3 linked regions of the Arabidopsis thaliana genome follow. The protein of the gene in region 3 interacts with the protein of the main gene of each other region in a biochemical or structural test. Each region holds a gene or a part of one and is shown on either strand. Other genes may lie near its edges. The genes, in order: MYC2, WRKY57 and JAZ4.

Region 1 (5,840 bases), 6.1 Mb from region 3:
GTAATTAATTTCCAGATTCATTTTTTAAAAGGAAAAAAGAAAGAAAATACAACTAATATCAGGAAAAATATATTATTACACATTCACATGTAGAAAAATTTCAAGTCTATATGATCGTGTATTTGTGTCTGCATGTTTCAAAATCATTGAAAAGACCCTTCCTAAAAAGTAAGCGAATCCAAAATTGTATGTAAATTTATATACATATGTATATATATGAACATATGTTATTATAATTATGAATAAATTATTGCTACTTAGGAACTCAATCAACAAAAGATACATAGATTGAGGCGCTTCTACAAGGTCATCCTAGTCACTTATTAACCTAACATATGTAACACATTGTATAAGCTATTCGAGCATGCCAAATCAATCAAGATCATTATATCATGTTCGACGATCTATCGAAAGTGTACACCAATTGATGATTCTCTATTTCTCTAAATCTAAGAATAACTCGAATTGGTCACATACAAATTTGGATCAGGTAACAGATATATTTTTATTTCATGCAGTTAGGAAATAACATATGGGAAATTTATATCTTACGTTCCACATTGTTCCCGAATCCCGACTAATGTCCCTCTCTTTCAACAAGGTGATAGTAAGATCTTCATTTAATCAACCCGACTCTCTACTTAAAAAATTTCAACCATTTTCTCTAAGAAGTCAGAACACTCCATCATCCCCATTCTAAGCTCAACATAACAACATAACAAGAAAACTGTCATCTTTGTTATCTCATTTCTCGAAGTAAGGGGGGAAATCTCTATATTTATCCCACTAATTATTCATTACTTAGTGGGATATTGTTGTTTTCTAGTGGCGTCACCCCCAAAGTCGACATGAAATATGATATCACGAATCACCTAGCCAAAACTTAGTGTAACATCTTCTCATAATTTTCTTATAGTAAACATGTTCAAAAGTCGACTCACAACCACCAGACAATGGTTTGGTTGTTTTCTGTTTGTTGAATCGTTCATTGACGAGTTCACCCAATACAGATGTCTCAGAAAATTATATTCAAAAGTTATTTTGGTTGTTATTTACAAAAAATGGTATACTAGATCCCAAAATTATTTTACTATTTATTGTTGGTAAAATACTCTTTAGTTTAATATGGTTTTAATAAGAAAAATCAACCGGAGTATCATTAATCTGAACGTATAAAGACATATCATTGAGTTTATCACAAGACAACGTAAATCTACAAGAACACAATAACATAAGTTTAGTGTTTTGTTAGTAAGAATTTGTCTTCGCAAGATAGAATTTTAGAAGTATATATATATATATATATATATACTATTTTATCTTAATTCTTTTTGTTTTATTTTTGGTTTTTAGGTAAGGGTTAGGAGTAATGGGACCATATTGGTGGCATGCTAAATTATTGTGATAAATTTATGCATGGAGGAAAAGATGCCAAATGATTTATGTTATTCACTCATACTCACCTAATGACCTAATCCTTGAATTATTGTTCGAACTTTAAAAATAAAATTTTAATATTGTAAATTAAACAAACAATATAACGTTGTTAGCATGTGTTTATCGTGAAATGTGAATGTAACTAAAAATATTATAAAGGAGTTCTTCCTTTCTTAAAGCATATGCTAATAATAGCGTTTGGTCAAATTAATAAATTATTAGTTTATTTAGTCGTCAACAAATTAATTAGTTAAGCAGACAAGAATCGTTTTTGGAGATAGAGATTCTCACTTGCATTTCACTCTCTTGCAATTTAACATATTAAGACAAACACAAATTTTTGCTTTAGTGAATTATTAGCAACGACTCACGTTATATAGATATGCAAATCTCAAAATTAATTAAGCTAAGACACAGTATTTGATAATTGAGATTACAAATCTTAAATTTTGATTTTTAATATTTTAAAATAACATTATAAAATAAGTAATTAATCTGTTATAAAAAATATATTCTAAAAGTTGACAAAACGACAAATATAAATCGAAAAAATAGGTGAAAAGTTATAGTAAAGTGTTTTTCCACTGAGCTCACAGTTCACTCTTTGGTACAAAAGAAACAATCAGTTAAAATCTAAGTCAATCATTAAAGAGCGTGTGATACACGTGCGACCAAACAGCCGTACGATCTCACTCACTTCCGGTCTTAATTCTTACCGCGTCGATCCAACAGTCGATGGGGTTAAATCGGGATGTGAGTTCATCGAAGCTTCTCTCTCTCTTACAACCATCCACGTTTCCCAATGAAATCTCGCCACGTAATATCCCTAACAACAAATTTACACATTCACCCTCAAGATCAGTTACACATATAATAATCGCAGACGCTCTCCATTTTTCTCCACTACGAAGACTTTCTCCTATCTCTCTCTCTCTCATTAAAAACGTGTTTTTTTTTACCGGTCACCGGTTTATGGAATGACTGATTACCGGCTACAACCAACGATGAATCTTTGGACCACCGACGACAACGCTTCTATGATGGAAGCTTTCATGAGCTCTTCCGATATCTCAACTTTATGGCCTCCGGCGTCGACGACAACCACGACGGCGACGACTGAAACAACTCCGACGCCGGCGATGGAGATTCCGGCACAGGCGGGATTTAATCAAGAGACTCTTCAGCAACGTTTACAAGCTTTGATTGAAGGAACACACGAAGGTTGGACCTACGCTATATTCTGGCAACCGTCGTATGATTTCTCCGGCGCCTCCGTGCTCGGATGGGGAGATGGTTATTACAAAGGTGAAGAAGATAAAGCAAACCCGAGACGGAGATCGAGTTCGCCGCCGTTTTCTACTCCGGCGGATCAGGAGTACAGGAAAAAAGTGTTGAGAGAGCTTAACTCGTTGATCTCCGGTGGTGTTGCTCCGTCGGATGACGCTGTTGATGAGGAGGTGACGGATACGGAATGGTTTTTCTTGGTTTCGATGACGCAGAGCTTCGCTTGCGGTGCGGGATTAGCTGGTAAAGCGTTTGCAACGGGTAACGCGGTTTGGGTTTCCGGGTCAGATCAATTATCCGGGTCGGGTTGTGAACGGGCTAAGCAAGGAGGAGTGTTTGGGATGCATACTATTGCGTGTATTCCTTCGGCGAACGGAGTTGTGGAAGTCGGGTCAACGGAGCCGATCCGACAGAGTTCGGACCTTATTAACAAGGTTCGAATTCTTTTCAATTTCGACGGCGGAGCTGGAGATTTATCGGGTCTTAATTGGAATCTTGACCCGGATCAAGGTGAGAACGACCCGTCTATGTGGATTAATGACCCGATTGGAACACCTGGATCTAACGAACCGGGTAACGGAGCTCCAAGTTCTAGCTCCCAGCTTTTTTCAAAGTCTATTCAGTTTGAGAACGGTAGCTCAAGCACAATAACCGAAAACCCGAATCTGGATCCGACTCCGAGTCCGGTTCATTCTCAGACCCAGAATCCGAAATTCAATAACACTTTCTCCCGAGAACTTAATTTTTCGACGTCAAGTTCTACTTTAGTGAAACCAAGATCCGGCGAGATATTAAACTTCGGCGATGAAGGTAAACGAAGCTCCGGAAACCCGGATCCAAGTTCTTATTCGGGTCAAACACAATTCGAAAACAAAAGAAAGAGGTCGATGGTTTTGAACGAAGATAAAGTTCTATCATTCGGAGATAAAACCGCCGGAGAATCAGATCACTCCGATCTAGAAGCTTCCGTCGTGAAAGAAGTAGCAGTAGAGAAACGTCCAAAGAAACGAGGAAGAAAGCCAGCAAACGGTAGAGAAGAGCCACTAAACCACGTCGAAGCAGAGAGACAAAGACGCGAGAAACTAAACCAAAGATTCTACGCGTTACGAGCGGTTGTACCAAACGTTTCAAAAATGGATAAAGCTTCGTTACTCGGTGACGCAATCGCTTACATCAACGAGCTTAAATCCAAAGTAGTCAAAACAGAGTCAGAGAAACTCCAAATCAAGAACCAGCTCGAGGAAGTGAAACTCGAGCTCGCCGGAAGAAAAGCGAGTGCTAGTGGAGGAGATATGTCGTCTTCGTGTTCTTCGATTAAACCGGTGGGGATGGAGATTGAAGTGAAGATAATTGGTTGGGACGCAATGATTAGAGTTGAATCTAGTAAGAGGAATCATCCGGCGGCGAGGTTGATGTCGGCGTTGATGGATTTGGAGTTGGAAGTGAATCACGCGAGTATGTCGGTGGTTAACGATTTGATGATTCAACAAGCGACGGTGAAGATGGGTTTTAGGATCTATACGCAAGAACAGCTCAGAGCAAGTTTGATTTCAAAAATCGGTTAAAAGGGTGTGTTTTGGGAAGTTTAGAAAGTTATGGGGTCAAATCATAATTAATTCGTTTTAGTGGCTTCAGTAATTTTGTAGATTTTAGTTTTGTAAGAAAAAAATCTTAAAATAGAGCGACAAGTTTCTTCTTTTGCTCTATGTTTGAGTCTGTATCGTTTTATTGTTGTATCTCCTCAATGAGTAAACTTGTATATATTGATATGAGTAATATGAGTTAGTTACTGAAAAAGTTAATATTTCTACACAATTTCATATGATAAAAAAGAAAAAGAAATCGAGTATAAATGGTCTAAAATAAGAGACTAATGGTCATGATCACTGATTTTGTACATATGGTCAAAAATGTCTCTCCTAACACATCAAACTTAGGAAGAGAGACAAATCTTAAGTAAGTTAAGTCGAGAGGGAGACCATATGCACAGTTTTCTTAAGTCAGTGTGATAATGTTTCCTCTTGTCTAATCAATAAGACACAACACACATAAACCTTAGTATAATACTACATGGATCTTCGAATACACAGACAGAGTCACAGACAAGAAAAAGCAAATCACTTGCTTTTGTCTTGATCATTTCCAATATCTACAAAAATAGAAATCTTGAAGAGATTATTGAATCTGAAATCTGCTTTGTTTGTGCATTCTCTTCCTCGATCACCTCGCAAGATCCTCTAGCAACCTGACCAATCCTCAAGAATCAAGTTTTCTTCTTTCTAGCTTCAGCTTTCCAATCTCGACGATGCGGCCTTATCTTCCGTTTAACCGACTCACAAGAACTATCTTGAGCCTTGTTCATAATCAAATGAGCTCTTCTAGCTTCTTTTTTCCAATTTCTATCGCAATAAACCCGCCGCACAAAGTTCTCAACATAACCACTAGGTCCATTAAACTCTAGTCCCTCGTCTTCTTCTTCTTCTTCTTCTTGTTTTCCCATTGTCTCAAACGAAAGATTATCATCGTTACCCGCTTCTTCTTCCCGCATCCGTTTCCTGGCTCGATACCTACGTTGTCTTTCTCTGTTCTTCATTCGACGGATCATGACTTCATCTTTGTCTATCAACCCTTCTTTCTCATCAATGCTCAAACCACCATTGCTCATCTTTCCTTCAATTCCAATTACTCAAAACACTGATAAAACAAACCAAATTCTATTATAAGGTAATGCATTTAAAGGAAAGAATCTAAAGCTCTATAAAACCCTAGAAGCTTCTTAATTCAAAAGCTGAAGACACAAAACACACACAAATGTAATTTTGCAACTAGAGGAGGACCAAATTAGAGATTCGTTAATAGCAATCAACCAGAAATGTAAGACTTCCAAAGAATCAAAATTAGCTAATCGATACAACTAAAAATGTTATTTTGCTTTGCTTTCAAGTTGAGAAAACAGAGAAGTTCGATACTCAAAGAACCTGAATGATTAATTCGATGATTAGGTTAAGAGGCTAAAACCCATATATTACCAATCTCAGTGATTGATTTACGAGAAGAGAAATCCAAAAAAAACAAAATCAATAAAGGTCATACCTTTGAAGCTTCAGTGAACAAAGAAA
Region 2 (6,421 bases), 8.1 Mb from region 3:
AACATGAAATAAACATTGACCTTGTTGTTGATTGTGGTTGTCTTGGTTCAAAACCGGAATTTTATATTTTAATGTGAACATAATTGTGCGTTTTGCAAATACTTTTAAGTGGAGTTTTGGCTGATTAAGAACAATTAATGTCGACAATTAGCATGTTGACATATATTTAGTTCACAAGTCGACATTTATTTTCTTGATTTAAAATGTGAACTTAATTTACCAAAACGGAACGGTTTTTACACATTTGCTTGGCGTAGCTAGAAGTTGATATGTACGTCACTTCAATACATTCATTAACTTTGAACGGTTCATTGAAAAGCAAGACTTTGAATGTCTTTGGAAAGATTTAATTTGTTCGGATCAAAACATTTTTTTTTAGCATAAATAGGATTGTAATTTTTAAAATATGTAAACTGAGTAATTCTGATCATTAGACTGGTTTGTCTTCTGATTTAATGATCGTTTACGTCTCTTTTATATTTTGGCCTTTTGGGAGACAACGAGGCACCGCAATGGTTATCGTTTTCATCACGTAAACGAAATTCCGTTCCAAACCAAAAAACGATGATAAAACCATAATATATAGTCTAGATCAAAATGGGTAAAAGTCAAACATGATTGATGATTACCACAAATTTCGTCTTTTTTACCAACGTACAAAACATGTTAGTTACATGAATAGATTATCACCACATTCACAATGGCATGTCATATAAGTCGATGCTGTTCGGATTATCCATGCCTTGACCACGTTATAAGATATTTTCACCAAAGCAATTGATAATCTCTTTTTATAAATTACGCATCGCGAATTCTGTTCTCCAATATGAATTGGGGATATTCTTGCAATCTGTAAAGTTCATATAGATATATATCGCCCTAAAGTTATAAAGATAAAAGTATAAAATAATTGTAAAATTGATGAAAAGAATAATAAAAAATAACGTTATTTCCTCCATGTTCTTTTTCTTAAGTGCACATACATGCATCAAATGTGGGATGGATCCACGATTAAGATTAATGTTGTGTTACATCAAAATTATACCTGGATATATAACTACATATATAACAAGAAATATACATGAAGAAATTGCAAACGTACCGGTGGTGTGCTATTGATCAACAATGAGGTAATATATAGATCCATTGTTACAACGCCATATTGTTATACCCTCCCTGCGCATATTCTGGTCTGCAATATCTTCTATATATAATGAGTTAGCACCTCCTTAGCTATTGCTACGTACCAAGCTTACCTGGGAGATTAAATCAAACAAGGCAGATATGTATATATGTTACATTTCATCTTTGGAAATAGCATATGTTAATGTCAATGGTGTATAATTTGGTAAAGTTGATCTTATAAGAAATGTTTACAAATCAAACTATATATACGTAATTTAATAAATAAAAAATATATGTACACGAATTTACGTATTAAAGGTTTCAATTGTGGAGCTAGCTAAGATGCTCATACGTCTCTTCTACCTCATTTTCTTCCTTTTTCCTTTATTGGCTGTCTTTGGCTAAAACAGAAAGCATTTATTCCTATGACCTAACACATTACCCTCAGAACTTATCCTACATGCTTCGCGTAGTACTTCTTGTAAATATGCTTGTACATATACTGATATACATACACATAGACATAAGAATGATGCACCATGCAGGACACAGAATCACGCATATATACATGCAATTGTGAACACACACAAAAGGTTATAAATGTAAATGGAAAAGCCATTATCGTGACACTGAGTGGAGTAGTTGAGCTTCGATTTAAATATTTGTTGACATTTCTATAAACCCGCCGACCCATTTTGGGCTCGTCTCTATCAGACACAAGTAAGCCTATATATGCCTTATAGCAAGAGGGGTGAGACAAAAGGCACTATTATACCAGTGCTTGATCCTTATACAATCACTCGTAAATATATACATATATATATATATATATATATATCTGTGTGTGTATTTAAATATATATAGAGAGAGGCAATCATCCACTTATTATATATGCATGCATCATCCAACTTTATAATATGTTCTGCAAAAATGAATACTAGAGAAAGAAAAAGCACTGGCCGACATATCTATCGAGTGATCTAAATTGTTCCACAAGAGAGATAATGGTTCGCATCAATGATTAGACCAACACGATATTTGATCCTAATATTCATAAGTACATCTACATCAGTTAGACTTTGTTTCTGTCAAAGCATGGGAATTTTATCCCACCTAAGACATCCCTTGATGTGGATTTTCAGCTTCGGCCTAAAACGAAAAACCGTTTATCCCTTTGTGGTCCATTTAAAGTTTTTAAACCCTTGCATACCAAAGATATATATATTTGATCTCTTTATAGAGTTGATCACTCCTAAGACTATTAATGCACGAACATTAACAAATACAACAAAAAATATATATAACATGTAAGAAATTACCTCAAGGGTTGCGCATAGTTTGAGGTACAATATCACCAAGTAAGCCTTCCTCTGATGGAGTAGACACGGCAGGTGTATCTTCAGTAGTAGGTCGGGGTAACCGCGGTGAAGGAGCATTATTGTCTCTGTGAAGTTGATGAAGGAGTTCTTGGTAATAATAAGGATTTGGTAATGGAGGAGGGAGATGATGATGAGAAGTGAAGCTATGTGGGTCGTGTGCAGTGAGGATTCCACCACGAGGGAATCCAATGGTTTGATGGCAATGTTGTCCTTCGTATGTTGTGATCACTATCGATGGATCATCTGATGAACGTTCTACTCTCTTCTTCACCGTGCATCTGCTGTTTGTGCATCTATAGTAGCTCCTATATATCACAACAACAATAAGAAATATAGGTTGCATATCCGTTAACTAAGAGAATGATCAAAGAAACTGATGACTTATATACGACCTTGGGAATGGGCTATTCTTGACGGCTTTTTGTCCATATTTACGCCATCGATATCCATCTTCAAGATTATCCACATCACTCTTGGTCATGAATGCGAATCTTGGTTGCCGAATTCGCTTTTGAGCCTTCTTCTTCTCCTTCACTCTAGAAAACAAAGTATATAACCATGCATCAATATCACAGAGTAACCAATTAATCAAGCTATCAAATTCAAAAAAATATCACAAAACATGGACTCCAATCCTAATATTGCACAGTCAAAACAACCACGGAAAATAAAAAAGAGAGTTTAAAATAAAACGCAATTAACTTGAACATCTAACCAAAAAAAATTGTTACTTGACTTCAAATGCTTGCTATAACGTTTTCATTAAAATCATCCATTTTACATTGCTAGAACATTTTCATCCATCTTTTAAGTGAAAACCCTACATACGGAACATCTTATGAAACAACGATTGACGAGACAAGAATTGTTAAAAAAATCAGAGTCTTTTTTAATAACTTTGCTAGATAGATACTATGTAGATTAACATCATTAAAACGTGAGACGCTTTTTGACCTAACATTAGTATAATTAAAAAAGAAAAGGAAAGGACGAGGAGAAAAAGAAGATGTAGAGTGCACGCTAATATCACAGCCGCTATTGCGGCGGTGTTCCTCCCATTCCTCCATCATCATTATTATTTACTCCAACTGCCACCGACGATTCTTTACTTAATTACCAATTTCTCCTTCCCTCTCCAAAACTTCTAATGTACTACTGTACGGACGAACTCATCACTCTCTATCTTTCTTGCGATGCCAAAGAAATTACTCAAAAGAAAGAAAATAAATGAGAGAAAAAATGGGGCTTTTGGCTTTGGCCTCAAGATAAAACTAAAACCCTCCCCACCACCAACACTAAGATAATGAAGTAAATTACGATCGGACCCCTGCAAACAAAAACACACACGTGTTTCTCGTCTCAGTAAAAAAAACTCACGGTGTCTCCGGTGGTGGTGTTTTCTCGGCGGAGGCGGTTGAGTTCTCGGCCGGATCTTCACTTGAACTTGAGGTAGCTGAGGGATTATTATTAGTAGAGGTAACGGCAACGGAAACGGCGGCGGATGAGGAACAAGAAGAAGTGACGGTGGTAGGTTTGACTCCGGTGGTTTGTGTTAAATCGGAGTCGAATCTGAGACTGTGAGGATGATCGGAGGAGTGGTGGAGGTTCCAACCGAAGTCAGAGAGGATATTGGAAGTGTCTCGGTCGAAGAAGTCAGAATCTTGAGCTGTGAGTGTGAGTTCTCTCCAAGCAGAGTCGTCGTTGCTCAGATCGGGATTATCAGGATCGTTCATGATGATTGATCGGCGAGAGAAGTAGTGATAAGAGAAGATAGAGAAAGAGAGGTAGAGAGAGAAAAAGAGAGGAGCTAGGGTTTGTTCTTGATTGGAAGAGAAAGAAAGAAAGAAAGAAAGAAAAGAGAGTGAAAAAAAAACTTTGAAACCCGTTAAAGTGCAGTGTCTCGTCAAGGACCGATCTCAGACTCTCTCTCTCTTTGTCTATACGAGAGATTCTTTTAATTTATTTAATTTTTGGAAATTGCGTAAACACAAAATATATTAATAATAATTCAAGAGAGAGAGGGAAAAAAAAGAAGAGAAAGTTGAAAAAATGGAACGTCAACGTCAAAAGGGTCAAGTGAAACGGAACGGGAGGCTGCTAGTAGCGGAGAAAGTGAGAGGCCCACGTCTACTTTTTGAGTCCTATAGATCGACGCCTATTTTTAGACTCGGATTTGCATTTACTCTTCAATTAACATAGATGATGAGACTTCTTTCACTATTGAAATTGGTACCACTAATCCAATTGTCCAAAGAAGGACGATTAGCAAGATTTGTTCGTTTTATAGTTGTTGGTTCATCGAGACTTTTGTTTTTATGTATCTACTACTATTAGTCGATGTTACTGTTGCAACTATGAAACAAACCTAATTGAGTTATTGGTCATTGTTGATGTCGTGACTCGTGAGCGATTACGAAACAAACATACTATCAGAACCCTAGTTCGATCTGGTATAATTTTTGTTGTATGAGTCCATGGGATTCCTTTTTGTGGAAGAAAAGAAGCTTCAACTTAAAAATACCACCTACTTGTTTGTGGTTCGGATGACTGATGATGCGAGGATAAAAAAGCATAATTTTTTTTTTTTTTTTTTATGAAATGAGGTATAATTGAAAATGAATAAAGTATATTTAAATTTTGATTGAAAATTAGTTAGAAAGTAAATAATTGGTTTCTGCGTGTTGTCCGTGTTGGATATGACAAGAATCTAGCGAATGTAAACCACAAACAATTAACCGGCCACGTGGAAATTCTTAATCCTCATAAGTCATATATGATAATTATCTTATAATCATATTCACATGTTATTCCTTATTTATATTCCCATAATTGCAATCCATCAAACAAACGTTTCCGGTCGCACTCAGACTCAAACAACCATATCTTCGAGATTCATGTAAACGTTCCCTGTGGAAAAACTAAACAACATCGTCTTTTAAATAAAAAAGTGTCTATAAAATCAGCAGATGAATCGATTTTTGTTTAAATACATGCACGGATTAAAACGAGACACATGTCTACGTGATGTCTAACCATTATTAGAATATTGTTGAAATCATGTAACATATGTACCACACGCTACTACGCTAACAACGTATATATAGAATCATAGATACAGCTGTAATACAAGTTGTGTTTTAAAATTATGATTATAGAAAAACAGTTAACTTTGTCCATATACACTTTTGTGAAGATATGTGGATATGAATAATTTAGGTTCACATGTGTTTTTTAATCAAAGAATTAAGTATCAATACACATCTAAATAGCAACATTATTCTTTACCATTTTTGGGTTTGGTCTATCGATCTCGGTGCTATTATAACGCTAGCATCTACGTCGAGAATCGTTTGTGCGTACACGCAAGAGGGACACCTACTTGTATTTGCACAATCCATCTATATCCTCGTAGGCCCTTTGATTCGATATACATATCCTCGATAAATTATAAATAGTGGATTATGAATAGGAAGTATCAATAATGGTCCTCTCTAAAAAAAAAAAGGTATCAATAATGGGAGCAAATCATGTTAGAAATCAAATCAACATAAATATTGATTTGTAAATTTATTATATGATATAAACCGTTAACTTGATTACTAATTAAATGGAGTAAGTTTTTTAGTTTAGCTATAAAAAGACTGACCTATGTTTTTTATATATCATTTAAATTTGTTCTCAGTTCTAATGTGATATATGTAAAAAGGAAAATAAAATGATTCAACAAAACCGGTACAACGCATAGAAAATATGGTATTGTCATCTATTTACATATCACTGTTTCTTACCAAAAACAGACCATTATTTGTTTTTGTACCACTATTTCTCACTACTATATCTCTTACCGATTAATAGTATAGATGCAATCTCTTATTGTTAAACATTTTTTTTACCGATTAATTTCCATTGATTTATAC
Region 3 (5,614 bases):
CACTTGTGTTTGTAGGAACTTATACGTCTCACCGAGACCATAAGTAGTGAATCCAACTAAGTACCATAACAACGCTGACCCTCTTTTCTTCTCTGCAAAACATTTTTACACAAAGATTCAGAACCAAGATTCAGAACTTAATCACAAATTAGACGAGAGAGAGCATGTGCAAGATACTTGCGGGTGGTGGAGCTGAAGAAAGCAATTGGCTCTCAAGATTGGAAGTTTGTGAAGCAGCAGGGAGATTGCTAGTAGTAGAAGAAGACATGTACTGACTTTGAGAAATCAACCTCTTAAATATCTTGGAAACGAGTTTTGTCATCTTTTTCTCCTCCAGGATCTTCTCTTTGTCTCATCCAAGATTCTTGATCTACTATATATGGCGACGACGACGAGGACTGATTAAGTATATAAACTAATGTTTTATTTTCTGATATAGCACATGGCACCAACTAATTAAATGACTTTCATCTGCTGGTGGAAATATTTTATATCAATTATCGAAAAAAAAGTATAAACATAAAGTTGACTTCAACAAAATCTAGAAGAGCTTGAATAGTCTTACTTTTATGTTTTTTATACACATGCAAGAGTAAAGACAAAACATACAGTATCCAAATTAAATTTATAGGATATATATAAATAACTTGCTTTTACAAGCCCAGTGTACTAAAATCTGAATAAACAAAAGCTATAACAACTATACTATAGTCTATAGGATACAGAGCCAGAGAAAAAAGAAAAAGCCTTTAGAACAATGAGGGGTCTAAATTGGTTTTAGTGCAGATGATGAGCTGGAGGACAGCTTACACATTCAGACATCAGTGTTCTACAGTCTATTGATGACTTGTTGTCTACGTAATAAGGTGATACGTTAATGACCCTGCAAGAAAACGAAGCCAATATACAGCAAACCTGTGTTTTGATATTGTGAATAAGTGAATAATCTTGTAGCTCAGTACCTTTCTTTGCGTTTCTCTAAGAACCGAGCCAAGGATGCTTTGCGTGTTTGTGGTAAACCCACTGTATTAAATCATAGCAAGATTTTTTGGTTATAACAAACTAAACCTAAGATAGAAGTTTGATGACAAAACATTAATAGGAGTTAAGACTTCATTTATAACCTGTTGGAGCCATAGAGAAGGCAGCAGTTTGGTTGTTGCGCGTGGATGCTAAACTCGCCTTTGTTTTTGTTGGTCCAAGTCCAGTAACCCCGTTGGATCCACTACTTCTGGTTTCAGAGACAATGTAAGAGATGGAAGGCAGGAAACTAGGAGGCATAGTTGGAGGATCAGTGGTTGGAAGAGAGTGATGAACCAGTTTTTGAGGTTTAGGTTGTGAAACCGGTTTAGCATGAGGTCCATTTCCGGCTAGCAACATGATAGCTTGGGCCTATGAATACAAAATAAATGAAGAAGTAAGGACAAAGATTTATCATATCTATGAATCATTAACATACTGTATGTTGAAACCAGGTTAGTAACTTTCTATAACTTCAGCATGTCTATACGTGAAACTTATTTCTTTGATTGAATACTTAGTCAGTGGATAGCTTGGACTGTAATGTAACACATATTGAAGGAAATTTGGTTACCTTTTCAGGAGCTATGTCTTGGTAAACTAATACTGAACCGGCATAAAAGATTGTCAACTGAGGGGGAAGTGGTTTTGAAGAAGATCTGGAGATGAACATAAAGGAGCTCGAGTCAACTATAGAAGTAAAGAGGTTCTGTATCTGATGTTAAACAGAAGAAGATAGAATGCAGTGCATGCCTAATAGTGGTTGGAGCAGGAAATACTGAAACTGGAGGTGCCATGATAGGAGATCCTCCTAAATGTTGGTGGTTTATGAAACTGTTGATGTAGTTTGGTTCGGACATGGAGACTGTGATGGTTGTTTGGTCTTGCTGACTGGAACCTGGGAACACTCTGTCTTCCTGAGATCATTTTGTATCAATTTTGAGACCAGAAGAAACTAAACCAATTGCCAAGCTTTCTTACAAGGTCACTAAATCACACTTTATCACTACTTTTTTTCTTTTCAAGAAATAGCCTAACCTGTAGTGAGCTGAAGTAAGTTCTCTGGTTTTGATCCATTGCAGCAGAAGAAAGCAAATGATCATTGACTGTGTTTACACGCGTTTCTTGTTGGGATGTCCCAAAAGAAAGAAACTGAGGACCAGAACCGACTTTGCTTGAGAATGACCAATCCATCATACCTCTACTTGGGGCTGAAACATGAGCAAATGTCTTTAGATTTTATCAAACTAGGAAACACTCAGATCTAGCTATGCTAAAGTGGACGACTCTTAACATTAGATTCATCAACAATGAACAAATCTGCATAAAGCCAAACACACTGGGGAAAATAGTGATCATACAAATACTTTCAAGAAATGGCACGTTTCGGAATATAAAAAGACAAGAACTAACTATTAAATTCCTCGTGGGTAAGTAAATTATTCATCCAAATTGTAACTTGATCTAAATTTAATACCCAACATGATCCTAACTTAATCAATGAGTCTACTTGGATAGAAATAAAACTTAATCAAGTCACAATCAATCTTGCTTTTATATAATTCAACTTGCATTTGTTGTTAAATCTCTAATCGTCAGCCGGTCGCTATATAACGCATTCTTTTCCCAACATTTCACGTCTTCGTTTTTAAATAATACTGATAGAATTCAAGTTGCTTAATAAACCTTAAAAAATGGCATAAACTTTTCAAAAAGAATAACCAGCCAATGTTCTAATTCTCAATATTCAATCCGGCTTTGAAAAAAACAATCTTTTCTAAAGAAGATACTATTGTATTGAAACCAATTGATCAATTTTGTAAGCAACAAAAAAAATATAGCATTTTTGTTCTGTCGGTGTCGGCTGTTTGAAGAAAAAAACGAAATTATTTTGAAAACACTCAACATTACCAACAGCTTTAGAAACATGCATCACCTAGTCACCTAGAAAATCAAGTTTGTTCTCTGAATATTATTTTTCAAAGATAATACTAACACTTGTTAAATTACTAACGTCAACAAGTTTGGTGTTTGCTTGTATAGTTGTATACTTGTACATTTGTAGTTTGCAAAAAATATTTAATGAAAAAAACTTCAAAAGTAGATCGTGAACGTATGAATTTTCTAACTATCGAGTCCCAAAACGTGTTTTTTCATCGGCTACGTCAAACAAATTCGAGTAGCTAAATTTCTGTCTATAGTACTAAAACCTAATTTCTTAAATATATATCAAGAAAAAAGAAACCCTAATTTATTTTTTCTCTTCCCGAGAAAACGAAGAAAAAATTTCTTGTTCAAGAAAAAACCAGACAGTAGGACTCCCAATCAAGCTAGAAAAACAATATATATGTACTTGAACAATAAACAAAAAAAGAGATTACAAAAATAGAAACAAAAAAAAGTGAGATGAAAAACACAATCATCAGATCATAATGGAAGATGTTGAAGATGAATTACCTGAATCTTCGTTAGTTTCCTCCTTCACAGTTATCGGAGATAACTTTGATCCCAGCCCGAGAAAATCTCTCTCCATCAGGCTTATCAATCGTTGAGAATACAAAAACGGTTTAGCTTTCGCGGGGGAGAAAAAAAATGTCACCGGAGAAGAGAAGAAATGAGAGATCAGAGAGAATTAGTAACAATTGAAGGACTTTGGAGAGAAATGAAAAACGTGAGTTGAAGTTACACACACCGCCGATTTATGATTCCTCTAATGATGTATACATATATTTTTTTAATATAAATCATCCGATGCGGTATGTGTATATCCCACGTCTGCTTTCCTGTTCCGGAATAAACTTCCAATATTAGAAATTCAATCATCGGATATAAATATATATATTTATTTTTATTTTGAACAACTTGGATATAAATATATAAATATATAAATATGTCGTTAATATCAAACTTAAAATAATGTTTTACATTATTTATTTTTATATTTAAAGCTGATAAGCATTATAATAAGAACCCTTATTCTCAAGTTAAAAGAGAGCAATTATTTGTAGTGCATTGAGTCATTGACTCATTCATTCTACACAACAAAACATGGTAATAATGTGGTTGAGAAGAGCTTTCACCGTCGTCTCGATCCCTCTTCATACAAAGTTTGAATTCTTGCTTTGGGTCATGCAGTGCCTCATTATTGATTTATCTTTGATTAATGTTTTTTTTAGATAAGAATTAACCTATAGATCGTAGCCATCCCGGATGAATGGCCTTCTTTTTTATAGAGATTGATGGTTTTTCTCGTTTAAAGTTTTTTTTGGTATGCTCATGTCCTTGTTAAAAAGGCTAGATTTCATTTGTTAAAATCTAGCATTTATGCTTCGTATTGGTTCTCCCATACGGAGAACTTCCTCTTTTACTGTTGTTAGATTTCGTTTGTTAATATATCAAAGTATTTTTGTTTTTGGATAAACCCTAAGAGTTCCTAAGAAAGAGGTTATTTTCGGAACTGTAAGAGTTAATAGTCATGAGGTTAAATTACAAGTACATGTACACTGCTGAGCTCCCATGTTCATACCAAGTTCGAGTGTATGGAGCTTACCCTTGGCATTATGAATTTATGAGCAAGCTGCAAAACTTGCCACATAGAACCAGAGCCAGACCAAAAAAATATAAGGCTCCATACGAATTATGGAAAAAACAATTCTTCTTGAGATTATATAAGTCATTACCATATAATATTTTTAAAATTAAAAATTAAAGTTTATAAATATATTCTAATAAGCTGATTTTATATAGGTTCCAGATTTTAAAAAGAAAAAACATAACAAAAAGAGAACGTTGAACACAAGTTTTAGCAAAGTTGTCGATAGAGGGACACAATGAGATATGGTTCCCATACGTTACTCCAAAGTATCCCTTTTTACTTGGTTGGTTGTGAAAAACAGAATTTGAGTAGAGAGACAATGAGAAAGTGGTATGTAATGTAGATTCGAGTTGCATTTTTTGCAATGAACAGGTAGAGAGACGAAGGAACACTTATTTTTCCACTGCGCCTACTCAAAAAAGATATGGGAAGACTTAACAAGGGGAATTCTCTCGGACAGATATTCGGCGAGTTGGACAGAGGTTATGAAAACTTTATCTAAAAACCTTCTATACAAAACGAAGAGCTACATACTTAGGTATGCACTACAGACAGAACTCTATACACTCAATTTGGAATGAACAAAATAGGAGGAGGCATCAGGCATGGGGAGCAATCATCACCGACGGAAATACTTGTGAAGATTATAGACAAGAATCTTAGAAACCGTTTGAGCACAATTCAAGGTAGTGGAGGATTGAAGTTCAAAGATGGCATCCAAGTTTGGTTTAAAACTTTGAATCAAGGCAATAGATAATAGACAATTAGAAGTTCCTTTTCTTTAAAAAAACTCTCAAAACAATTAGCATTTCATATGTAACAAGTTTATTTTTCTTTTTAATATAATTTAACATTAAATTCAAAAAGAAAAAGTTTTAACATATTTTTATTATAAAAATCTGAATTAATTTAGTAAGAAATAAATAAAAATACTTGTTATTCGAAAAATCTGAATTAGTTTAATTAGAAGTAAATAATTACAAAAATTATCTATTAGGT

Evidence for each region.
Region 1: the proteins of JAZ4 (region 3) and MYC2 form a complex in vitro, tested with the Arabidopsis thaliana proteins (one study listed by BioGRID).
Region 2: the proteins of JAZ4 (region 3) and WRKY57 form a complex in vitro, tested with the Arabidopsis thaliana proteins (one study listed by BioGRID).

The regions. Positions count from the first base shown.
Region 1 is NC_003070.9:11,797,488-11,803,327, reverse strand, and holds MYC2 (Basic helix-loop-helix (bHLH) DNA-binding family protein), read left to right. Parts: upstream 1-1,920; 5' UTR 1,921-2,414; coding exon 2,415-4,286; 3' UTR 4,287-4,984; downstream 4,985-5,840. Other genes in the region: AT1G32630 (FAM50A-like protein), read right to left, coding at 4,985-5,386.
Region 2 is NC_003070.9:26,053,673-26,060,093, forward strand, and holds WRKY57 (WRKY DNA-binding protein 57), read right to left. Parts: upstream 4,712-6,421; 5' UTR 4,238-4,711; coding exon 3,882-4,237; intron 3,041-3,881; coding exon 2,897-3,040; intron 2,810-2,896; coding exon 2,446-2,809; 3' UTR 2,445-2,445; exon of another isoform or gene 2,368-2,444; intron 1,257-2,367; 3' UTR 603-1,256; downstream 1-602. UniProt on the Arabidopsis thaliana protein: Transcription factor. Interacts specifically with the W box (5'-(T)TGAC[CT]-3'), a frequently occurring elicitor-responsive cis-acting element.
Region 3 is NC_003070.9:17,929,597-17,935,210, reverse strand, and holds JAZ4 (jasmonate-zim-domain protein 4), read right to left. Parts: upstream 3,822-5,614; 5' UTR 3,554-3,821; coding exon 3,478-3,553; intron 2,612-3,477; exon of another isoform or gene 2,232-2,611; coding exon 2,059-2,231; intron 1,938-2,058; coding exon 1,774-1,937; intron 1,680-1,773; coding exon 1,595-1,679; intron 1,393-1,594; coding exon 1,125-1,392; intron 1,024-1,124; coding exon 963-1,023; coding exon of another isoform or gene 956-962; exon of another isoform or gene 884-955; coding exon 778-883; 3' UTR 549-777; downstream 1-548. Other genes in the region: AT1G48510 (Surfeit locus 1 cytochrome c oxidase biogenesis protein), read right to left, coding at 1-92, 178-322. UniProt on the Arabidopsis thaliana protein: Repressor of jasmonate responses. Interacts with and suppresses RHD6 and RSL1 transcription factor activities to negatively regulate jasmonate-stimulated root hair development.